Schizosaccharomyces pombe: one gene and its partners. The main gene of each other region encodes a partner of the protein of the gene in region 3 in a complex. Each region holds a gene or a part of one and is shown on either strand. Other genes may lie near its edges. The genes, in order: mrpl31, mrpl28 and mrpl1.

Region 1 (3,371 bases), on a different chromosome or scaffold from region 3:
TTACTGGAGTTTTCCAAGCCAGAGCAGCTTGATTTACAGGATTCCTGGTATTGTCCTGGGTGTAAGGCATTTCGACCGGCAACAAAACGGCTGGAGATCTGGCGATTGCCAAAAATACTAGTCATTCATTTAAATCGATTCAGCGGCCACGGTGGAGATTTGCGGAGAAGACGTAAACGAAGGGATTTAGTAGTTTATCCAGTATTTGATCTCAATTTGAAGCAATTTTTGAGTCCATTTATAAAAGATCATGAGTGGCTATCGTCACAGAAATCGATGCTTTACGATTTGTATGCAGTGGACAATCATCACGGGTTTATGAGTAATGGTCATTATACTGCCTATGCAAGAGATGCATCGAGCCAAACATTCTTTAAGTTTGATGATACAGCTATTTGTGAAATAGATCCGGAGGATATTGTCACATCGTCTGCTTATGTATTGTTTTACAGAGCAAAGAATTAAAGAGACGTATAATAGAGGTGATATGAACTTTACTCTAACTAAAGGCTAATGTCGTTTGTTTGAATATGTATGAAACTGGAAATTGAATATGAACGAAGACGAGGAAGAGGTGGGAGTTTTTGCAATAAAAAAGTAATAAAATAAGCTATTAAAATAATCCATTACATTTATTATTCATAGAGCATTAAAATTATGAAAAAAAAAGTAGTAAACTTTTGCAACCAGACGTTTTTAAAAGCCAGTGGGATTAACACGATTAGTACTACGGGTCCATTTTGGTGATTTATGGACACCCTTGCGGAAGCCTTGGAGACCGGCACCTTGAGTCTTCCTGGTAAACATAGTGTATTTATCCTTTGGTGACATTTGGGATTCAGGCTGATGGTTAGCAACGAAACTTTCAATTCGTTTGCACGATTGATTTTTCTCTTGCAACGCCGTGCGCAAAACATCTACCACCTCATCGACGGCACGAAGTCGTTGACGGTGACGATATTTTCTTCGCTGGGATAATCTCCAAGGTACTTTATGAACAAGACCGCCAAAGCGAGCCAAAGTCGAGTTAAATGCACCCAGCATATTTTTCGTATAAAATCAAAAGGAGAGGAAGAAGGTTGGATCAAAAAGAGCAAATAAAAATTTTTTGTTAAGTTTTTGGGTGATAGACAAATTCTGAGTAGTTGATGGTTTGTCACAAAGTAGTTTACGGCTCCAACGAAACAGCAAAGATGTGAACAAAAATTAACTTGATTAGCGTCCTAAATTGATTTAAATATTATATTGCCATTCAAATATAAACACTACACCTCCAAAATGGTGGAGTTGGTTAACTGAAGAATGATATAGGTTTTGGGTAAGTTCATATCCTTGGGTGTACCTTCCAACTCGAATCCACGTGACCACCTGCCAGTAAGAATCGGCTCATTTCTACTTCCCACCTGCTAGATAAATCGCGATAGGGCATTTGCAACCAACATCTCGAGAGTAATTAGCTCCTGGGTTATAACCGTTAAATACCACCTTTAAGGAAGAATAAGCAGAACTTGATCATGGCAGAGAAGACAATTACTGTTGAAGAAGTGTTAAAACATAACACTCGTGATGATTTGTACATTGTTGTAAAAGACAAGGTGTATGATATTTCCAAGTTCCTTGACGCTCACCCTGGTGGTGAAGAGGTTCTTGTTGATTTGGCCGGTAAGTAAATTTTTAGGGGTACGCGATAATGGAGGTCTTGAGGAAGATTGGTTGTAATGCATAAAAATTGGTCGCGATTGTGTGGAGTCGTAGAAATCGAAGTTTCAGACAACTAGCGTTACAAAACTTTGAATTTCACGAGAGTTTAGGTGTCGCATATACACATGTTCTTTAATTTGAAAGATTCAGGACGAATCTTTGCCGTAGGAACGTACAAAAATAGATGCGATATCCTGAATAAATACGATGTTTAATGCGACATTGTCATTGAAGGTGAATTGTTAAGTACAGTCTATATGTTCCAAGATTGATCGCTCTCTACTCGATGTTTTGTATTTCCAGTACTCTGAATACACTGAAATACATAATTTTGGAAAGATTGATTGACGATATCGCTTCGATTCTTCACATACGGCTTTTGGATTGGCTATACAAAGTTTCTGCCTTTCTCTACCATCGCTAGGGGCTTTTTTTTGTTCGTTTCTGTGATTATTAACTTGTTTTAGGTCGTGATGCTAGCGGTCCTTTCGAGGATGTTGGTCACTCTGAGGATGCTCAGGAGTTGCTCGAAAAATTTTACATTGGAAACTTGCTCAGAGTATGTCATTTATTTTTTCTCTTCGTTCGCCATAGGCTCGTTAAAATTTTTGTAAAAATTTGCTTCGACACTCTAACATATTTTAGACTGAAGATGGCCCTCAGCTTCCCACAACTGGTGCTGCCGCTGGTGGAAGTGGATATGATTCTTCTCAACCAGTTAAGCCTGCTATGTGGCTCTTTGTCCTTGTGATGGTTGTTGCTTACTTTGCTTTTCGCAAGTATGTCCTCAAATAGACTGCTTAAATTCCCAGTCTTACTTTTGCGCTCAAAGAAATTTAAAGGCCTTCTTTCGTTTTGGGTCGTTTAAATGTGCTGAATATGGTTTTGTGATTTTGAGCTAGCAAGTTTCGTTTTTTGTTGTTGTTAGATATCTACTTTAGCTTTCTTTACCTGTTCGTACTTAGGATATTTACGGATTCAATGTATTCCTTTAACACGCTTTGGTTTGGCTCTTAATGTGAATGGCATATTAATATTAATAGAGACCTTTGATTTGTCTGGACGTAAATTTAATTCACAACGGTCTTATGCTTGCTTTGCGTAACTGTATAATTGATAATACTTAGTGTTATATTTTTTGTATTTTCGTTGTTTGTTCTCTCATAAAAAAAAGTTTTATAGTTTCTTCTATTCTATTGTTTTATCGATGGACCTATGCCCAACTTGTCTAGAATTTTAAGCGGTGATCGAGTAAATAAGTTCGGGCGTTATTTAACGATCGAGGATTTATTCATTAAGTCTTTTTTTTTATATATAAATGTAAATTCATGATAATTGCGACACTTTTTACGTCTCAACAATTTTTTTCTACTATTTTAATTTAGGTGCTAATACACAGTTCCTGTAACCACCGCTACCTGCAGACAACCACCATCGCGCCTTTGCGAAAAATCAACTTTTTAAGATATGTCTTGGTTGTTTACAAGAAATAAAGAAGAGGAACCAACCTCAAAGATTGATTCTTCTGAATTGCAGGTCCCTACCGAGGCTACAGCCTCAGATATTTTATCGGGTTCTGAATTCGATCCCGCCAAGTTACATCCCCTCGCTGATTTAGATAAACCTCTGGATTACTTATTGATTGAGGAAGATGCTCTTTCTACTCTTCC
Region 2 (3,174 bases), 880 kb from region 3:
TAACCCTTGTACACTTACCGAATGGCCCTTCGTTCTATTTTACCTTATCGAATCTCCAAACAGCAAAGGAAATTTCAAATCATGGCCGCTCCACTGGTCATATTCCAGAACTGATAATCAACAATTTCTCAACGAGACTTGGTATGACTGTTGCTCGAGCCTTTCAATCATTATTTATTCAAACGCCTCAAATTCAAGGGCGACAAGTTGTTACCATCCATTGTCAAAGAGATTTTCTTTTTTTTCGAAGACACCGTTATGCATTTCGTGAAAAATCGAATATGCCAGATGGTATTGGAACTGGGCTACAAGAATTAGGTCCTCGATTTACCATGCGTCTTCGTATGGTTCAAAAAGGAGTATGGGATAGGAAAGAAGGGGAGGTTTTCTTCGAGAGCAATGCCGGTGAAGAATCAGATAGACGTAAATTCTGGCTTTAAAGACATTTTGTCTCATCTGCGACACGTTGTAAAAAGAAAACAGTGTTTGGGTCATATTTTATTGTTTTCGAGGTAGGGTTTGGGTTTGGTAACAATTCTAAATTTTTGGTTAAAAAAGAAAGCATGGCCTTTCATTTTGTATCATTCGTTTACGGTGAAATTGGGAATGAATAATATGATACATGTAGACTAGAAACTAGGAGACATAATTCTTTAATTCAATTATTGGTTTATTTAAAAATCCTAATTAGATTATACTTGCTCGTAATTAGTGATACATTTTTTTATATACTTGAACTTGTCTATAACACTTTCGAGCACTACCGAAGATATTAATTATACTCATAAAAGGCGCTCGCCTATTTAGAAAGCCGTGGTGGTGTGTCCGTAGGAGTCCTCGTTTCTACGGGGAACCTCCTGTTAATTGAATCGCTCATTGCGGCTTTATATAATGTTTCACTCGTATGCTTCAGTTCCTCGCAAGCAATTTTCATTGCAGAGAATTGGTTTTTTAGAAGATTCTCTCTTTGTTTTTCTTGTCGATATTCGTGTATACGCCAAGCGCGATTAATAACTTCGTGTTTTTCCCACATGTCTGGATTCATTTTCAAAGACCTGACTTTTTTATTTCCGTAAAGAGCTTTTCTAACCAAATCGATTGACTCACTATGATTAGAAGGACCAGATTGGTGCTTTCCCTTTGAGGCCTTAGCCATTAATTGTAACGTAGAACGCATCTGCCAAAAAACTTTTCAACACAAACTAAAGTACTCCTTGAATTTTTTCACGTTGATAGAAAAAAATTTAATTTTCAAAAGTATTAACATAAAACCTTCCTTTAAAAGCTAAAAAACCTGAGTAGAGAAAAATGCGGTAGTAGTAAACGTGTTCAGTGGTATGAAGCTAATTAAGAGAGTAAGTCGTGATACACTAGGAAAAGCCACCAGTACGATATTTCAAAAAAAGAAGTGTTTCATCAAATCCCCTTCAATTTCACACACTGATAAAAAAAATATAGATTATAATTCGGAGTTCATTTAATTGTTTCTGAATTTTCAGTAGCTAAGCCAAACAAAGCATATGCATTTATGGAGATATGTAACCAAACGAAGACATTTAACAAGTAGAAAATATTAAGTTTTAAGTCAAAGCTTTATATGGAGTAGGCCTGATGCTCAATTTTTCTGCTAAGTTTCATGTAAGTAGTCAAACACATTGATAAATCCATATCAGTGTTTAAAGTTTTAATGAATGGATAAGTTATTGTAATAAATACTATCATCAACTGAAAATGGCATGGCAAAACGAAGCTTAAACCTCAATACAATCTACTTCCAGTACGTTTTTCAGTAGAAGTCATGAATTAAGTTGATTTTTTCAGCTTAACACTGTACTGTAAATTTGTCGATTAGCATACCTACATTCTGCATCTGTTTTAGACTAGTCCATTAAAGTTCAATTCCTAGAGGAAAAAATATTTAATACGCTAGTTATACCCAAAAATGTTTGTCAAAATATAAAAGAATAAATTTTTGTATCCCATCGAATAATATGAATGCTGCGAGATATTCTATTCCAAGGCAATATACATACACTAACACCAAACCAGCGACGTTCGGGTACAAACTTCGGAATTCCTTGCTCAAGCATCTATTATAGTGATTTTTGAGATTTTATACAGCTCAAATATTAAATTTCCCCAAATAATGATCCGTTTTGCTCAATATGCTCGATATCCGGTAATTTCAAGGTTGATGAAGCCAACAGTTATTTCACCATTTCAGGCTCAAGCGTTTTCTAGCTCTTCAGTTATGTTAAAGACATTAAATCAAACGATAAGAAATAAAGAGAAACGTCCTGAAAAAACAAATAAGCAATCTGTTGCTTTAGAGGGAAGTCCGTTTCGACGGGGTGTGTGCACGAGGGTCTTTACAGTAAAACCCAAAAAACCTAATTCGGCAGTAAGAAAGGTTGCCCGTGTACGCCTTTCAACCGGCCGTTCTGTTACTGCTTACATTCCAGGTATCGGTCATAATGCACAGGAGCATGCTGTGGTATTGTTAAGAGGCGGCAGAGCACAGGATTGTCCAGGAGTCCAATATCATGTTGTTCGGGGTGTCTATGACATTGCTGGTGTAGCGGGACGTGTCACATCCCGAAGCAAGTATGGAGTAAAAAAACCGAAAGCAGCCTAAACTTCATGACCTCAAAGACTTTCTTTTTCGAAAACCATGATATTCAGAAACGTTATCTTTATAATTATTCCACCTCCTCTTTTGATATCGATTCACAAGGACCTTATTAAAATGACTGAAACAAAAATTTAAATGAGAAAAAAGTTGAGTCAACCCATTTGTCATTTCTCGCAACCTTGCTTCTTGTTGCAACTATACATATTCAATAATCATTTACTCTTGCATGTTTAATAAGCAATTTTTTAGTTGAACTACATCCCCTTTAAACATACAATCATCAAAAAAAGGTAAAAAAGATTGTGTAATTAGGCAATTTCCAGTTATCTAAAAAATTAGCAAATAGATAATCCTTTTGGTTAAAATTTAACCAAATCTATCTAAACAATGATTTATTAAAATGAGGAGGATTTTCTTTTGAGAAATCCTTTTGGAAAGTTTTCTACTTTTTTGATATAAGCTCTTTAAATAAATTTTAAACTTGAGACGCTTTCAATTTTTAATTTGTTCAATTTGGTTTTACTACCGTGCTATTTAATTTT
Region 3 (3,713 bases):
AAAGCAAGGATAAGCCATATGTATATGTTCAATTAGAGGGTGAAGCCATTCGACCCTTGCTAGATCACATTCTTAAATTTGAACGGTCGTCAGGAACATTGCATGAAGCTCCTTCTACCGAAGATGAAAATGAATTCACAGATGATTTTTTAGAACTAACATTATATGTTACTGATGTTGATTCATGTTACCAGGCTCTTTGTACTTGCCAATCTCTACATCCGGACACTTTTTCCTCAGATAATGATGTTGAAAACGCGAGTATGGGAAACCCTATGTCCTTATTTTTTGATCCAAATCACCAGTGGGTTACGGCTGAAAACGTAGATACCTCAGCTTGTGATAACAGATTTGATTCTCCGGAATCGCCTGTTCTGAAATGGCATCGCACAGAGTAACTTTCATAATGTTGTATTCTAACGTTTCATTCATACTTTTTAAAAAGTAGTTTATGATAATAAATAAATATAAACAGGCTTCTAAATTTACTAGATAAAATATCATTACACATTTCACTAATTTGTACAAAATTAATCATGTAATACATATTACAAATGACAAGACTGTAGACTAAATTTCCCATGCAATAACATTTTAATCATTATTTATACTGGAGAGGAATTGCAATAGCATGTGAGGCGGAAAGATGAACATGCTTTACGGTAACTTTAACTTTTCCAGGCAGTTTGGCCAAAGTAAACCGAACATTTGATACAAGTGCTTCGATGTTTTCTTGTAGCTCCTTGTCGCTGAACCCTAGTTTTCCAACCGGCAAATTTATCGAGCCTGCATCATTTTGCCGATAGTCAACAGCTGTGAGGGCAGATTCAATGAGTGGCTTCAATTCATCTGATATAGTACCTCGTTTTATTGAAGGCATAAGACGTTTTGATCCTAATAATTTAGCAACTTGTGGTAGTAATTCTGCCGAGTTGGGATGAGCAAAGCACTTTGAAAATTCAAGGGGCTCTGTTTGAATTTTTTTTACTAAGTCTTCTGCACCAACATAGGTTGCACCCAATTTTAAAGCTTCATCTGCAGCTGCACCTTTAGCAAACACACAAATTTTAGGAGGCTCTTGAAATGGATGAGGAAAGGCAATTTGACCACGAGCTGACGGAGCGCGTCGATTACTTTTTAAAGCAATTGAAAGCATATAAGACCCAACATATGGAACAGAAATGCTCACAGATTTGAGATATTTTGTGGCTTCAGGAACTGTCATCGCAAGAGCGGGAAAATTGGATTTCTTGTTTAGTTGAGAAATAAACCTTTTGCAGAAACCCTTTTGATTTTTAAAATTTAAAAATTCATTATGTGACAATAATGTTTGCCGTTTACCTAACGCTATTAATGAACTCATGGTTTTTAATCTGGTTCGTCAAACTGTCACCAAGCTACTGGATGTCAGTCAATGAACCTGCTAAAATCATAAATCTCTAAACAAATCTGATCCAGCTGTCAACTTTCGAATTAATAAAGAATTATCTTTCAAATCAAATTTCCTTATAATGTTTTTGATTAAAGACTAAAAATAAACGGTTTCGTTTAAATTCCACGTTGTGGTAGTTGTAAGATACTGTAGGGTTATACTAGCAAATCCATCCGTTCACGATGTATATATTTTAAGGAGTTAAAAGTTTGTTCATCGGAGTTTTGAGGGATATAGCATTATGAATTTTGTTTCATAGTTATATCTTCACCGCATCTTGTTAAATCTGCGTCAACTGAATAGTTGTTGGTGAATTGTTGTTAACCTTTGTTGTTGATAAAAAATTTTCCTTATTTGAATCTTTAATATGATAGGAATTCATTTTTTGGATATTGGATGTAGCTTCTGGATAGCTGTCCATGTACCCGACAAGTGAAAGCATGTTCGTTGACTCATTACAGTCCTCATCTTGGAAATGTGAGGGCTCAACTGTTACGTACGTAAGAGTTGTACAGGTTGTTGCTCTTGCTCTTGGCACAAAGTATGCATTACTCAGCTTTTTGTTGTGAAGCATGTCTTGTATCTTCTTCAAGTTGGTGGCTGTTGAACCCATCTTAGCAGACCCTCGGTTATTTAGTTTTGTGTTAGCATGGAATACCAATGGTTTTAACAAGTTTCCTTGTTCTCCGTCATGGCTCAATTTTCCTGCTTCTTTCTTTATATCCAAGTTGCCTGATAACTGTCCACTAAGTTCCTTATTTTCTTGCTTACAGTTAACATATTCATTTGTCTGACTGGGTTCTTTGTTTTCACCAGTCTTAGGCTCATTCTTATTTTCAACCTTACTTGAAAGGGTCGTGGGATTCTCAGAGATTTTGTTTGTAGAAGACTCTATTGGCTTTCGGATGGTAACAGTAGAGCTTCTTTCTGGTTTGACGAACAAAGCTTTGTTGTCTTGCTGCGCTGTTTGTTCTGAAGTAGGTTTGTTTGCAAAAAATGCTTGCAATCTACGAATTCTGTCAGACTTTCGCTCCGCGAAGCAAACGAAAATCCTTTTTTTCCCAACCATCATTCCATTCAATGTGTCTTTGGCTCTAACGGCAGCCTCTATTTGACGAAACGCTACGAAACCATAACCTTTGGAGATTCCTGAATTTGGATAGCATGCTAACATGGAAGACAAAATCGACCCGAAGGGTGAGAATAAATCTTCCAGCTGACTCTTGCATGTGATGACGGTATCATCTAAATTTTTAACGTATAGATTTGAAGGGTCAATAGGAGAATTAGGGATACTTGGAGAGCTTTCACGTAAAGAGTCCCAATGCACGATTGACTGAGGTTTATTATCTGGGTTCCAAGCGGCTGGATGATTTTGCTGATTTGAAACACCGGTAGTTGAAACGCTACCCCATTGGCTTTTCTCCTTAGTTGGTGAGCCCATAATCCATGTCATCTTCGAACATGTAGCATTTTCGATATTTATTTGAGTTTTGTTAGCGTTTTCCGATGGGAAAGGCCATAAGCTTTCACCAGTCGGCGTTGTGGGAATTGACTTCACTGAAGAAGAGGCTTTATTTTTTATACTGACCTCTAAAATGCTTCCTTTGTATGGAACGTTATTTAATTTTTCTATTGCCTTAATAATGAGGTTAGTATCATGAAATAGATTATGCAAATATTGGGGTTTTCTCTTCATATTGAGCTTACATTTTGACATGATTCAACTGAATCCATAATCACTTCGCCATACCGGAACCCTCTTTGGTCAAGAAACTGGCTGACCGCCGTCCCTTTTACTACACCAGCCTGTTTAAAGTGGTTATATAAGTCAATCGGTGTGACTTCGGCAGGTAGGTTCAAGATACTAAGGGGTAACGTAGAAGCGAAGGCATTTGGTACAACTTGCATGCTAATATCTTCCAAACCAAGAGACGGTATGGTAAGCGTTGTTTCTGGCTTCGGGTTACGCGAATTTATGCCTCTCACAGTTTCCCAATTTCTTTCTTCGACATTTGGAATAAATTCCTTAATCTGAGACTGTTTGAGTCCTGGCTTAACGTTTTCCTCATCTGTATTGTTTTGGATGCTAGGATTGAACACGTTCGCAGTGATTGACGTATCGTTAGGTTTGAATTTTTTGTCTGTCAGTTTCGCAGGATTTACGACTCTTGCTTTAATGGTCCTTTTTTTTAGGTTAGTAATTTTTTGGAGAATGATTTTTCGATTTTTTTTTCTGTAATGCTTGTCTCTAATTTTTCCCTTCAGTCACTTACAATTT

The links.
Region 1: mrpl1 (region 3) and mrpl31 share a complex: the UniProt entries of both Schizosaccharomyces pombe proteins name them as parts of the mitochondrial large ribosomal subunit.
Region 2: mrpl1 (region 3) and mrpl28 share a complex: the UniProt entries of both Schizosaccharomyces pombe proteins name them as parts of the mitochondrial large ribosomal subunit.

The regions. Positions count from the first base shown.
Region 1 is NC_003421.2:886,531-889,901, reverse strand, and holds mrpl31 (mitochondrial 54S ribosomal protein mL60), read right to left. Parts: upstream 1,317-3,371; 5' UTR 1,045-1,316; coding exon 697-1,044; 3' UTR 607-696; downstream 1-606. Other genes in the region: ubiquitin hydrolase Ubp1, read left to right, coding at 1-465; oca8 (cytochrome b5), read left to right, coding at 1,515-1,662, 2,169-2,260, 2,347-2,496; TIM23 translocase complex subunit Tim23, read left to right, coding at 3,169-3,371. UniProt on the Schizosaccharomyces pombe protein: Component of the mitochondrial ribosome (mitoribosome), a dedicated translation machinery responsible for the synthesis of mitochondrial genome-encoded proteins, including at least some of the essential transmembrane subunits of the mitochondrial respiratory chain.
Region 2 is NC_003424.3:2,667,795-2,670,968, reverse strand, and holds mrpl28 (mitochondrial 54S ribosomal protein mL40), read right to left. Parts: upstream 1,319-3,174; 5' UTR 1,157-1,318; coding exon 800-1,156; 3' UTR 601-799; downstream 1-600. Other genes in the region: Brix domain-containing protein Rpf1, read left to right, coding at 1-440; mrps12 (mitochondrial 37S ribosomal protein uS12m), read left to right, coding at 2,147-2,635. UniProt on the Schizosaccharomyces pombe protein: Involved in mitochondrial genome encoded proteins translation.
Region 3 is NC_003424.3:1,790,881-1,794,593, forward strand, and holds mrpl1 (mitochondrial 54S ribosomal protein uL1m), read right to left. Parts: upstream 1,572-3,713; 5' UTR 1,364-1,571; coding exon 602-1,363; 3' UTR 520-601; downstream 1-519. Other genes in the region: protein saf5, read left to right, coding at 1-398; poly(A)-binding protein Crp79, read right to left, coding at 1,713-3,071, 3,143-3,617, 3,709-3,713. UniProt on the Schizosaccharomyces pombe protein: Component of the mitochondrial ribosome (mitoribosome), a dedicated translation machinery responsible for the synthesis of mitochondrial genome-encoded proteins, including at least some of the essential transmembrane subunits of the mitochondrial respiratory chain.